Canis lupus familiaris: one gene and its partners. The protein of the gene in region 1 purifies or fractionates together with the protein of each later gene. This does not show direct contact. Links are inferred from orthologs where the notes say so. Each region holds a gene or a part of one and is shown on either strand. Other genes may lie near its edges. The genes, in order: SORBS3, WASL and DLG5.

Evidence for each region.
Region 2: the proteins of SORBS3 (region 1) and WASL purify together in Homo sapiens (co-immunoprecipitation; 3 studies listed by BioGRID and IntAct, with this or other methods). This does not show direct contact. The link is inferred for Canis lupus familiaris from reciprocal best matches to the Homo sapiens genes SORBS3 and WASL.
Region 3: the proteins of SORBS3 (region 1) and DLG5 purify together in Homo sapiens (co-immunoprecipitation; 3 studies listed by BioGRID and IntAct, with this or other methods). This does not show direct contact. The link is inferred for Canis lupus familiaris from reciprocal best matches to the Homo sapiens genes SORBS3 and DLG5.

The regions. Positions count from the first base shown.
Region 1 is NC_049246.1:34,892,664-34,896,827, reverse strand, and holds the start of SORBS3 (vinexin), read left to right. Parts: upstream 1-1,273; 5' UTR 1,274-1,343; exon of another isoform or gene 1,344-1,713; 5' UTR 1,714-1,828; exon of another isoform or gene 1,829-1,930; 5' UTR 1,931-2,060; intron 2,061-4,164. UniProt on the Homo sapiens protein: Vinexin alpha isoform promotes up-regulation of actin stress fiber formation. Vinexin beta isoform plays a role in cell spreading and enhances the activation of JNK/SAPK in response to EGF stimulation by using its third SH3 domain.
Region 2 is NC_049235.1:11,772,737-11,776,903, forward strand, and holds the start of WASL (neural Wiskott-Aldrich syndrome protein), read left to right. Parts: upstream 1-1,342; 5' UTR 1,343-1,727; coding exon 1,728-1,844; intron 1,845-4,167. UniProt on the Homo sapiens protein: Regulates actin polymerization by stimulating the actin-nucleating activity of the Arp2/3 complex. Involved in various processes, such as mitosis and cytokinesis, via its role in the regulation of actin polymerization.
Region 3 is NC_049225.1:28,429,578-28,433,221, reverse strand, and holds part of DLG5 (disks large homolog 5), read left to right. Parts: intron 1-194; coding exon 195-357; intron 358-492; coding exon 493-626; intron 627-1,292; coding exon 1,293-1,439; intron 1,440-2,663; coding exon 2,664-2,847; intron 2,848-3,644. UniProt on the Homo sapiens protein: Acts as a regulator of the Hippo signaling pathway.

The DNA of each region.
Region 1 (4,164 bases):
TCAATTCCTCTCATCTAGGAGGGAAAAAACCCACTTCTTACATCCGTTCCCTAGACATGTTGGAGGACATGTCTATTTTACTGAAATATAGTAAGTTTTTGTATATTTTACTGAAATATCATTTAAAAACTGATGCTTCCCAAGGACCAGTTTTTCTGACTTTTTTTTACATCTGCATCATAGGAAATTTCAAACTGATCAGATGACTTTTTTTTTTAATAAAAATGTAAAAACTCATCTAACACAAGCTTAAAATATACATCCTTTTTAAATCTCTGTGTTCTGAATATTTAGAGCTAAAACAACCCAATAAGCCAAGGGTGTGTGTGCGTGTGTGTTTAATGGCATGCTAAAACAAAAGCAGCCTCAGTTTTCTTTTAAAACCTCAAGGCAAACACTTGGTTAATAAGGACAGACATTGCTGTTTCACTGGCCTTTTGTGACTGGATACTGACCTGCAAACTGCAAAGTGAAAATTGTGAATCGCCCTCCGATGGGCTTGATCTGGCTCCTTGTGCAGGGGTAGAAGAATCAGACTCTCTGGGAATATCAGTATTTCTCCTATACTTCTATCTATATTTACATTGTCTTTTCTGTTCCTACACAAACAGTTGCAATTCAGTGAAGCAAGTTCTTGTCAATAGCAGACAGACATCCTAATAACTTATCCTAATAACTTAGGTATGACTTCCTGACACTGTTCAAAATAGGAAAAGAAAAATCCTTTTATTTGTTTTGCCAACAGAATATTATTATTCAATGTCATTAAGGAGCAAGGGTGGGATTTCTTAAAATCGGATAACTTTGGGGCCTTTCGGCTTTGTCATTGTCCCATATATCCTCTTCTCAGTAATTTTAAAATACAAAGTTTGAGGCAGCTGCTCTTCATAAGAAAAATAATATAAACCATGCTTACATGATATATAGCTGGGCTTACATGGTCATTACTAAAGAGTCTGTCCAGCCTCTCAGAAGGAATAAGGCTAAAATCGCTTCCCTCCACCCTCCTGTTTTATGTATATAGTGTAGCTGATTGCCAGAATTTTTGACTATTTTATCTATAAATATAAAATTCAAGCTCTTTAGAATTAACTAAGTTAAAATGGTTTAGGAAGAACTTGCCCCAGATTGACTAATTTATAAACTTTTTCTTCATATTAATTATCAGGTTTTTTCTCCAGTTTTTATATTGAAAATTATTTCTGAACCCATAAAGACTTGTTAAGACATCACTCTAGAATCCCCAATATTTATTGTAGTTGTTATAGTAACAGTGGAACCTAAGTGTTTTTCAGACATTATTCAGCTTTTTATACCTAGGCAGAAACAATTTCAGAGGAAAGGTAAACCCACAGCCCCAGTTTGGGAATGAGGTTCCAATTTCCTAAATCATTTGTGGTTATAGTGATGGATACCATCTTGTTTGGCACCTGGTCCACATCTTTCCCAAAGCCTCTATAAGAGGGAGTAGAGGGCAGCCTGGGAGACCTCATCAAGAGCCAGAGGAGGGTCTGAATGACCTGGAGGGTAGTTCCAAAGCACTATGTTGCTACAATTCCTCTTCAGCAGTAGTGTGATCAAACACTCATAGGAAAGTCAGAAGAAAGAGCAGATGTGTATAGAGGAAGAAAGTTGTGTAGTCGAAAAACAGGGCTGTTACTCTTGAGTTGTGCAGAGAACTGTGTTAACAGTAGAGCTTTGTGCCGTTGCCAGAGTGTGAAAGAGGGAACCTGTGTTACTCTGAGACTCATCACCTGCCCTGCCTATGTCTAGCCAGCCAAAGTGAATGGGGCCAGGCTTAGCTGCCTTCATCTATGCAGTCACAAAGGTAAAGATGATACTGGCGAGGATATTCCCTCCCGGGAGGCCTTGGCCTCACGCCCCAGCAACCTTGGCAAGACTTGCTAAATAACACCTTTGTCTGGGACAGGGTTATGCATCTTCCCCTCTTCTACACCCTCATGACAAGTCAAGGTGGCTTAAGATCAAGAAGCAAGGACAATGAATGTGGACCATCCCTCTGAGCAACTCTAAAGTAGGGCCATGCACACGGCCTTCCTGTAAGTTCTTGCCCCGATCCCGTTCACTTCCTTAACATAGCTGTTTCCAAATAACATTTTGTGGGGGTTTTTTTTGCATGTTAAACTGAAAGTGCATGTAATAGGGAGGAAGCCTACCATAGATTTTGATTTGCGGCAATAAAGATAGGTTTTTTGTGTCAGAGAACCTTTTTGAAGATGTCATCATGAATGCCTTACTTTTCCTTTCTCAGCGCACTGTGACCAATAGTATTTTTCCCAATGGAAATGTTAGCAGGCATTTTCCAAGAAAGCATCCCAGTTTTGCTTCCTAAATGAGGTGGTCAGACATAAATTAGCTGGTAATGTCATTTTTTAAAAGGCCTTTCTGAATGATGGATCATTTGCCTATGCTGAGAGATTATTTGCTTTATCTTGCTTTTGGTTATGTGAAAGAAAATGGTGGAAATGTTATTTACTGGCAGAAATTAACAAGTCTTTTTTGTGATCAAGAAATTAATTTGTTAAAACTTTCTTATTGTAAATTGGAAGTCATCTTAAAAAAAAAAACACTGTTAAAATTAAATGATAACCTTATTGGCTTCCTGTGTCTTTATTTCCTTTATTTCCTGGTAGAGGCACTTATATTTGGCTCTTACCCGTTTAATAATTCCATAAATCAAAGGAAAGTCTGGTGTTTGATGTCTGGTCTCTGATAAAGGAATCTCCTCACAATAAAAAAGACCTCTTCTTTCCCTTACCTCTTCAGCCCTTTCTTGAGTTTTAAATAGGCTCTGGTGACTGCAGTGTTGCCTCTCCCACTCAGAATCTACTGCCTTGCCCCACCCTCTTCCCCCGGCACTCTGCCTACCACTAACTCATGCTCCAGTCCCAGCTCCTCCTGTGGCTTTTCTGGCAGAGGCCACTACTTGTAGGAAAGGAAGAAAGAATGGAATGTCTTTCTTCTTTAGTTTTTATCTATCTTACAAAAGATAAAAATAATTTTTATTATAGTAACTTAATAATTGCAGATGATCCTAATAATAGGCATGAGTTCTATCTTGGGAAAAGTCACAGGAGCCAGAGAGGCATGGACTATGGGGCTGGACTGACAAGAAAAGGAAGTATAAGACCAGCCTTTTGATTCCTCCCCAAAGTAAAAATAGCATGAGGTGCTGTGGATTCACAAGGTAAAATAAGTAGAGGATTGAGAGGAGAGAAAGCACCCAGGGTCCTTAGGACAAATATATCAGAGGATTTTATCAGTTCTGGCAGAAGAGGCCAGACATCAGGCCTCTTAAATCCAGGCCTTGCCAGGCCTGAGTAAGGTAATTTCACTGCAAGTATAGCCCCAGCAAGGGCCACAGAGCAATTTACAGGCCAGAATACAAGCCCAGCTTCCTAATTTCAAATAAGCTGGGTATGCATTTTGGGATCTTTGTTATCCAAATAGTGTCCTGACTTGGCAATGTCCTTATACCTCAGCTAAACCATCAGTAAAATGAGGCAATGTTTGCCCTTATTTCCAGAACTGTGAAAAAAGTTATTTAAAATCCTGGAAATTAAGAACTAAAGTGCAAACTCATATTTACCTCCCATTACGTGTAGATTCAATCTCTACCTTCTTGCCTGCTGTATGTAATTATATGGTCTTCCTGGGTTTTCTATTGTGACATGCAGGTTTTAGAAAGAATTAATTTTGACCCAGTAGATTAGTAACTTAATGGCAAATTAGACAATCTTTTTAATGTTGATACAGTTTAGGAGAAGTTTCATCATAGAACTCAAGGAGGGGAAGACAAGGTTATTCTTTGTTTGGAGGCCAGTAGACACCGTGAAGTCGTGCTCTGATCGACAAATCAGCCCTCTTATCTTATCTGTTTACCTGTGCTAGGGAAGAAGGTTGATGCAGACCTAGTTTTCCAGCCCCTGCTCTGTGTGCCCGTCTTTGTGGCTGAATTAACTTGGCTGGGTTTTCCCTCTGAGGTCATCACTTATTTATCCTTCCCTCATAAAATCTACTTTCTAAAGGGGCTGACAGCTACTTGCTCTTTCTTTCTTTTCTGAGAACTAAAAGAGGTCCAGCTCAGCTCTTCTCAAAGACACCCCATGTGCACATGATGCTTGTTTGCTCATCTATAAAAGG
Region 2 (4,167 bases), on another chromosome or scaffold:
ACCCGGGATCGAGTCCCACGTCGGGCTCCCTGCATGGAGCCTGCTTCTCCCTCTGCCTGTGTCTCTGCCTCTCTCTCTCTGTGTCTGTTATGAACAAATAAATAAAATCATAAGAAAAGAAAGAAAGAAAGAAAGAAAGAAAGAAAGAAAGAAAGAAAGAAAGAAAGAAAGAAAGAAAAAACATAATATGATAAAATAGTATTTAATATTATAAAGATAGTATTAGGAACAAATGATTGTCTCTAGATTTATAGTTTTTAAGTTTTGTAATTTTCACATAATAGTACATATATCGTCCATGCGGCATCCTATATAGCCTAAGTAGAAATTCTGCTAAGAAATTATGCCCCCAATTTACCACTATACATTTGAAGAAATACAGAGAGTTCTAAATGCTACAGTTTTTTGAAATTTCATGCTTAGATAGCACAAAGATAAAAAATACACATTTCAACTCCACTTTTGATCCTTAGCTAAGGGAAGGGAAGCAAACCATAGGCAAAGGGAAGATAAGGACTATAGAGCAAGTAATGTTTGAGTAACCACCGTCCATCAGGTATTTCACGTATGCTTTCCGGGTAAATTTTACTACTTAGAAGTAGGTTTAGTTATCTCTATACTACACCTTTATTAAATAGGAATAGAAAGATGAGAAGGTGGGGGGGGGGAGAATATTTTCCAATTTTCAAGATGGGGAAAAACGTGTTCAGGGCACTTCAGAGAAAAGAGCCTGAATTTAAATGTTCTCAATACACTCATCCCACGCAACACTCCAGGCGAGCGGTAGAAAATTCTAAGTGCGTTTGGTTTTTGTTAACATCCATCAGCAAGCTCTTTCACAACTCCGGGAGAGAGGCCTGTGTGTTCCTCTACACCCACTGCTGAAGTTTGCACAAAGTTTGAGAAACCCCCGGCACCTGCAGCTCCGACCCAGGAGCACAGGGGAGCGCGTCACTTTCCCGTCTTCGTCTCCAGATCCTTTTGACCTGCAGTAAGAACGTCCGGCTTCTGCGCCCCCCAAATAAGAGCCATTCCGGGGAAGGGGGACCTGGGGCCGCACAAACGCTTCGCCAAGGTGTGCGTCCGCAGAACTCGCGCGGGCCACTTCTGTTTTTGGCAGACGGCGGCCGCCCGGCCCAAGCCCCGCAGAAACCAGCACGGGAGCAGGGGCCCGCACGCGCGATCCCCGCCCCCGCCCACGCGCCCGCGCCCGCGCCTCGCAGCCCGCGCCCCGGCCGGAAGTGGGCGGGGCCTGGGCCGGCGCGGTGGGCCGGCCGCGGCGTGGGGGGGGGGGGCGCTTCTCCCGGGCCCGGCCCGCAGCCGCGCGTTTCCGGCGCGCTCCCCCGCGTCCTGCGTCCTGTGGTCTCGTCCGCCCCCGCAGCCATGTTGGATTGTGCTGCCGCCACCACCGCCGCTGCCGCCGCCGCCGCCGCCGCAGGAGGGTTGGAGGAGGAGTTGGGAGTTTAGCGCAGTCGCTGGAGTACGAGGTCAACGACCATCCGGCCTGGGACTCGCCGGGCGGGAGCCGGGAGCTTCCCTTTCTTTGCGCGGCCCGTCGTTGGCTCCTCCTTCCCGCGGCCTCCTCCTCCTCCTCCTCCCCGCGCCCGAGGAGCTGCGAGATGCTGCGCCTCTGATTCCCCTCCTCCCACCCCTGTCACCGAGAGGGGAGAGAGCGCTCGCCTGCTCGCCGGAGACGGCCCCGGACGCTCAGCCCCGCCGGCGAAACCATGAGCTCGGGCCAGCAGCAGCCGCCGCCGCCGCGGAGGGTCACCAACGTGGGGTCCTTGCTGCTCACCCCGCAGGAGAATGAGTCCCTCTTCACCTTCCTCGGCAAGAAATGTGTGGTCAGTGGCCGAGACCCGCGTCGCCATCCCCGACGATACCTCACGGGCCCGGGCACGAGGGCCGGGAAGCGGGAGCGGGGACGAAGGCGGGAGCGGCGCGGGGAGGGTCCGGCCGCCGCCAGGCCTCCAGCCAGCCCGGCGCGGCGGGTGCGGGCGGTGCGGGCCGGCGCCGCCGCCGCCGCCGCCCCCCGCCTCCCGAAGCTGACCGTGAGCAGGGAAGTGTCACCTCCGCAGGCCCGCCCTGGAACCCCTCCTGGCCGGGCCCAGGTCTGCGCCCTTGCTGCTGGCTCAAACTTTGCTCTCAGGCCAAGAGGAGATTTTATTCCTGCACGAGCTGCTGGATCTTAAAAACCGGGCGTCCGTACTGGCCCTTGTTTCACCTCCTGCCGCTTGATCTGGGGGTGGGGAGGAGGCTACCTTCTTTCACAATGGCAGAGGTTTCAGAAGTGGGTAGATCGGGGAATGAAGCCCGGATATGAATGAAGCGGGCCAGAATGGGGGTTTTTGATCCCCGTTTAGGCTCCCAGGAGAAAATGAAGTCGATTGCATCGGTTCAGAATGAGGGCAGGGAATGTTGCTGCCCCCCATTGCAGAGAAACAGCGTTTTTTTTTTTTTTTTTTTTTCCTCCAGCAGCCTCACCAGGCCTGGTTTCTGCTCTCCTCTCCACTGATTTTTTTTTTTTTTTTTTTTTAACCCTTCATTGGTGGGAGGAGGTGCTGCTCTCCCCACGACCATGCGCAGGAGAACCACAGTCTCTAGTAGTTCGTGGCCTTTTGGGGCCTGAGAGTGATTCTTAGGTTGGTGCTGTGCGGCCTGTTCCAACCCCAGATGGCCGGTTGGGAGCAAGCAGTTCTGCTGTGGGAAGGGGAATGTGTGTTGTTGACGGAAGCATTCATTACATTGGCTGCTGGCACTTCTGGGGGTGGGGAGGTTCTGCTCTGTGGTGTAGGCCTCGTCTGGCTGCATCTTACTGCTGTGGCTCCGTTGAACTGTAGTCGAGTTTGCTGAAATGCTGTTTGGGTCCCTGTCTCCCCTCTTTGCGTCTTAGCACCTGCATAGTATGTGCCACTGGAAACCAGGAAACCCCTACTGAAATGTCAACAGAGCAGTACCATTTTACAGCTTCTGTTGGTAGTGTTAAATATGTCAAACGAGGCTACATCTATCTGTTTAAGAAGTTAGGATAGACAATTTCTGGAAAGTTACTCTATGGGTTAATTGTTAACTTTATAGGAGTCAGCCTTTTTGTATCCTCTTGGAGATTGAATCATTACCTTCAATTCAGACGGGCCTGGTATTTTACTGATTAGAAGAATGAAATAAGAGGACTGGCTTAAAATCAAAATTTTGGGCAACAGTTTTAAAGACAACTGTCGTGTGTGTCCGTGTCCCCTCCCTCCCTCGCTTTTGAACAAATGAGAAAACTGAGCCAGTGAACCCCAAGTCACACAGCAGTTTAGTAGGTAACCAGAACTAGAAAGCCAGGACTTTGGATGCCTAGTCTGCTGTAGTTTCCACTACATCATGTTGTTTTAGAAGGGTTTTTTTTCTTACTTGTTATTGATTTATTTCAAAAAATGGTGCAAAAGGAATAATCAGTTCTTTTTTTTTTTTTTTTTCCCCACCAAAACTTGGTATAATTAGTGTGTGAGATTCTTAAAGCAGCACTAATTTTTGTATATTTTCGATTTAGGAAAATCTCCAGCTCTTTAAACTGTTACAATATCTGCAAATGAAAAAAAAATTAAAATTTTTTTGTTTTAGTTTCATTTGCTATATGATCTGTATCAGAAAGGAAATAGTTGTTTTACGTTTTACATACCAGACACATTAAGCTTAGGCAGGAAGGACATTATATTCAAACACTAGTACACTGACTAATTGCTCTATGCTTACCTGTAATGTTTACTGGTTTCAGAAAAATGAAAGATGTGAGAGAATACTGTGATTGAGAAAGATAGCCTTGCTTTCTGGTTAGCATAAGTGGATTGCTGAATAAGCCATCAGTATTCAGTGCTCAGTATCTTTATGTCATCTATTATTAATCACCTTTACCTTTTGAATTTGGCATTTCATACACTCTTGTGGTATGAAATTGTTGTGAAGATTAATATTTGAAGTCTCCAGTTACTTGAGAGTAAAGACTATTTTGTTTTGAAAAATCCTTTTTTTCTTTGCTGACTATGCCGCTTTTTGTAGTTTAAAATTATAGTGAAATACATTATCTCATTAAAAACATCAGCAATAACATTTACAAGTCGACCGGAATTTGTTAGGACAGAAGTATATTCAGAGCCCTAAGAGTTCAAGAAATGAAACAAA
Region 3 (3,644 bases), on another chromosome or scaffold:
TGCATGAGGTTCTGGGAATATGTATCACTGCCATACAGAGGTGGGGGTCATCACATTCCCATCCAGCTGTGTCATTAGAGGAGCATCTGGCGGTTCCCGCCCCTTTCTGCATAGCTGGTTGCATGTCTGACCTCCGATTTGCCCCAAACCTTTCCATTGTGTCCGAGTCCCCACACTGTTGGCTCTCTTCCAAGGCCCTATGTGGAGGAGCCACGCCATGTCAAGCTGCAGAAGGGCTCGGAGCCACTGGGCATCTCCATTGTGAGTGGAGAGAAAGGCGGGGTCTACGTCTCCAAGGTGACAGGGGGGAGCATCGCTCACCAAGCTGGCCTTGAGTACGGGGATCAATTACTTGAGGTAGGCGAGAACTGCCCCTCCGCACTGCATCCTTCTCTCCTACCTCTCCCCTGCTCCTCCCTTCTTCGGGAATGCTGTGCTCCCCCCGTCCCCAGCTCCCGTGACATCACTGAGTGTGCTCTGGATGTTTCCTAGTTCAACGGCATAAACCTGCGGAGTGCCACGGAGCAGCAGGCCCGGCTCATCATCGGGCAGCAGTGTGACACTATCACCATCCTGGCCCAGTACAATCCACACATGCACCAGCTCAGCAGCCACTCTCGGTCCAGGTGAGGGCCTGGGCCTCCCCAGGGGGGCCATCTGGGCCGGGGGAGGACAGATGGTGCAGCCAGGGTGCCAGCTGTGAGTTCTGGCCATTCAGCTGCCCTAAGTGGAGAGGTGGCCAGCCCTGCATTTTGGAAAAAACACATATAGGAGGAGGAAGATGCGAAGTAGGATACCTGAGGTGTGGGGTGTGGAAGCATGCAGAGCAAGAAGCCCCCCGACAGGTGTGTGGAGCCAGGAACTGAGGCCCTGAGGGTGGGATTCTCACGCAGAGTGTCCTCACACGCTGTCTGTATCTGCCCCTGAGCTGTGGGTTGCCAGGCATGTGAGAGAAGGGGGAGACATGCCCCGCCATGCAGCGCTGCACAGCTCAGCGAAAGGACAAGATGTACAACAGAGGAAGAGGGACAGTGAGTGTGTGGGCCTCCAGGCCGACACCTGAATTCAGAGAGGATCCCCAAGTTGAGGACAGGTGAGGGGGAGAGGACAGGCCGATCCTGCAGGGTCAGCGACCTGAGTCCAAGCTCCCAAGACGTCTGCTCTTCTCGGGGCTCGGAGCCATGTGACCCAGTCCCTGTTCAGAGCCCAGCCCTGGTCACCACCCGAGGGGGTGGCCATGGACAGCCGAGGACTGTGAGCCACTCCTTATTCCTCCTGACCTCCATTCCCAGCTCCCACCTGGACCCTGCCAGTACTCACGCCGCTCTCCAGGGCAGCAGTGCCCCCACCCCGGAGCATCCCTCTGTCATTGACCCGCTGATGGAGCAGGATGAGGGCCCTGGCACCCCCCAGGCCAAGCAGAGCACCCCCAGTTCCAGGTCAGCAAATCCGTGCCGTGAGCCTCCCATCTGTGCGCCCTGGCCCAGGGGGGTGGGAGGGTGGGCGGCCATGGCTGTGGCCCCAACTCATCCTGCTGCCGTCACCTGGGCTGCAGGCCATATAGCAGGTGTCAGGATTTGGGGTGGGAAGCATGCCATTCCTTTTTTCCTCTCACCCTCCTGCCCTTTCTCACTTTCTTGTTTTTTCTCTCTCTCTCTTTTTTTTTCTCATTGACTTGTTCTTAGCTCTGCCTCTCTCCTTTTCTCCTCTTTTTCTCAGTTACTCGTTTTCTCACTCTGTCTTTAGACAGAATTCCACAGTCACCACCCAGCCAGGCCCTGGGCTGTGGCCACCATCAGCAGTCGCCCCCAGGGAGCTCCAGGTTTAGAGGGTGACAGGCAAGTGTCCAGGCGTGTGCAGCACGTGCTGGGAGGGCCAGTACAGGCCACGACGGAGCAGTCAGCGAGAGTGTGGCAGGGAGCAGTGACAGTTAAGTCAACGCGTTCAGGGTGAGCAGGGGTCAGCTGTGCATACGGTGGGTGTGGAGAGAGGTCAGGAGGAGGCAGGCACGCAGCAGCCATCCTGTCATCCTGGACAGAGCTGTTTCCTTGGCCAGGGAATGTAGCCAGCCCTGTGCTCTTTGCCCTGGATCCGTCACATTGGGACTTGCCCGCCGGAGTCACAGCTGGCCTGTCCCCTGAGGTCCCCTCATCAGTCCCCGTCACCGTCCTATTTCCTCTTCCCAGCGTGCTTGCCGGTGTCTCCCTTGCTGCTTTGTGAGTTCCTTGACGGCACGCGGCCCCCTCTTCATGCTTAAGCACAGTCCCTGGGCCAGAGAAGCTGCTCTGCAAACCTTGCCAAGTGGTCTGTGGTGCCCTGGACTGTGAGGCCAGCTCTAACTTTTCTTAGGCAGAGCAGGGTTAGGAGAACAAGTGCAGTCCAGCTGGGAAGAGAGGCCGCCTATGGCACTCGACTGACAGCTGGGCCAGAAAGCAGGGGCATTTATTTCTGTTCGATCCCCCGCTGGCTCTCTCAGCTGGGGCCATGTTTTCACCTCGACAAACCTCAGCATCCAGCCCGTACACTAAGTCGCTAGAACCAGAGCCCAGATGGGACACCAGGAGACCTCAGAGGAAAACTGTCAGGGCGTTAGGGACTCTGTAGTCTTTGACACCCAGCTCGCCGCCGTGTGTGATTGAGGGACTTTATTTTCGTTCCTGAAGGATGGTGGGAGATGCCAACAAGAAGACTCCAGAGCCACGTGTGGTCTTCATCAAAAAGTCCCAGCTGGAGCTTGGAGTCCATTTATGTGGAGGGAACCTGCACGGGGTGTTTGTGGCTGAGGTGGAGGATGACAGTCCTGCCAAGGGCCCTGACGGCCTTGTGGTGGGGGACCTCATCCTCGAGGTGAGTTCTGAGCAGCCGGTGGCACGGGAGGCAGAGAGCACGGCCTCCTGCCTGGTGCCCCTGTTGGTGTTGAATGCTGCCAGGACCCTCGGGGTGGATCACAGGGCCCTGGTGACAGGAGGGAATTGGGAGGGAGAATGCTCTGCCATGTCAGCAGCAGGGCTGTGCTCTCATGGAGGGGCCCCCTTTTCCCTGGGTCTCCTGTTGAGGGGCAAGGGGACTTCACAGGAATTCAAAGACACAAGTAGCTTTTATTTTTAATTATTATTTTTTATTTAAATTCCATTTGCTAACATGTCCTATAACACCCGGTGCTCATCCCATCACATGCCCTCCTCGGTGCCCGGCACCCAGTCACCCCATCCCCCCACTACCTCCCCTTCCACAACTCTTTGTTTCCCAGAGTCAGAAGCCTCTCCTGGTTTGTCTCCCTCTCTGATGTCTCCCCACCCAGTTTCCCCCCCTTTCCTTATGGTCCCTTTCACTCTTTCTTATATTCCCCATAGGAGTGAAACCATAAGATGATTGTCCTTCTCCGACTGACTTATTTCACTCAGTGTAATACCTTCCAGTTCCATCCACGAAAGACAGAAATAGCTTCAACAAGATGAAGTGCTGTGTTTTCATAGCCCTAACTTGCTGGGAGATTAGCACAGGGTTTCTCGTGGGAGAAGCTGTTGGGGGCAGAGGACTCAGCCTTACCTGCAGAGGCGAGGCAGGCAGATTCCCGGTTAAGGGGATCTTAAATCTGCCTTCTCCCCCTACCGCCCTGTCAGGGTGCCTAAGCCGTCTCTGGC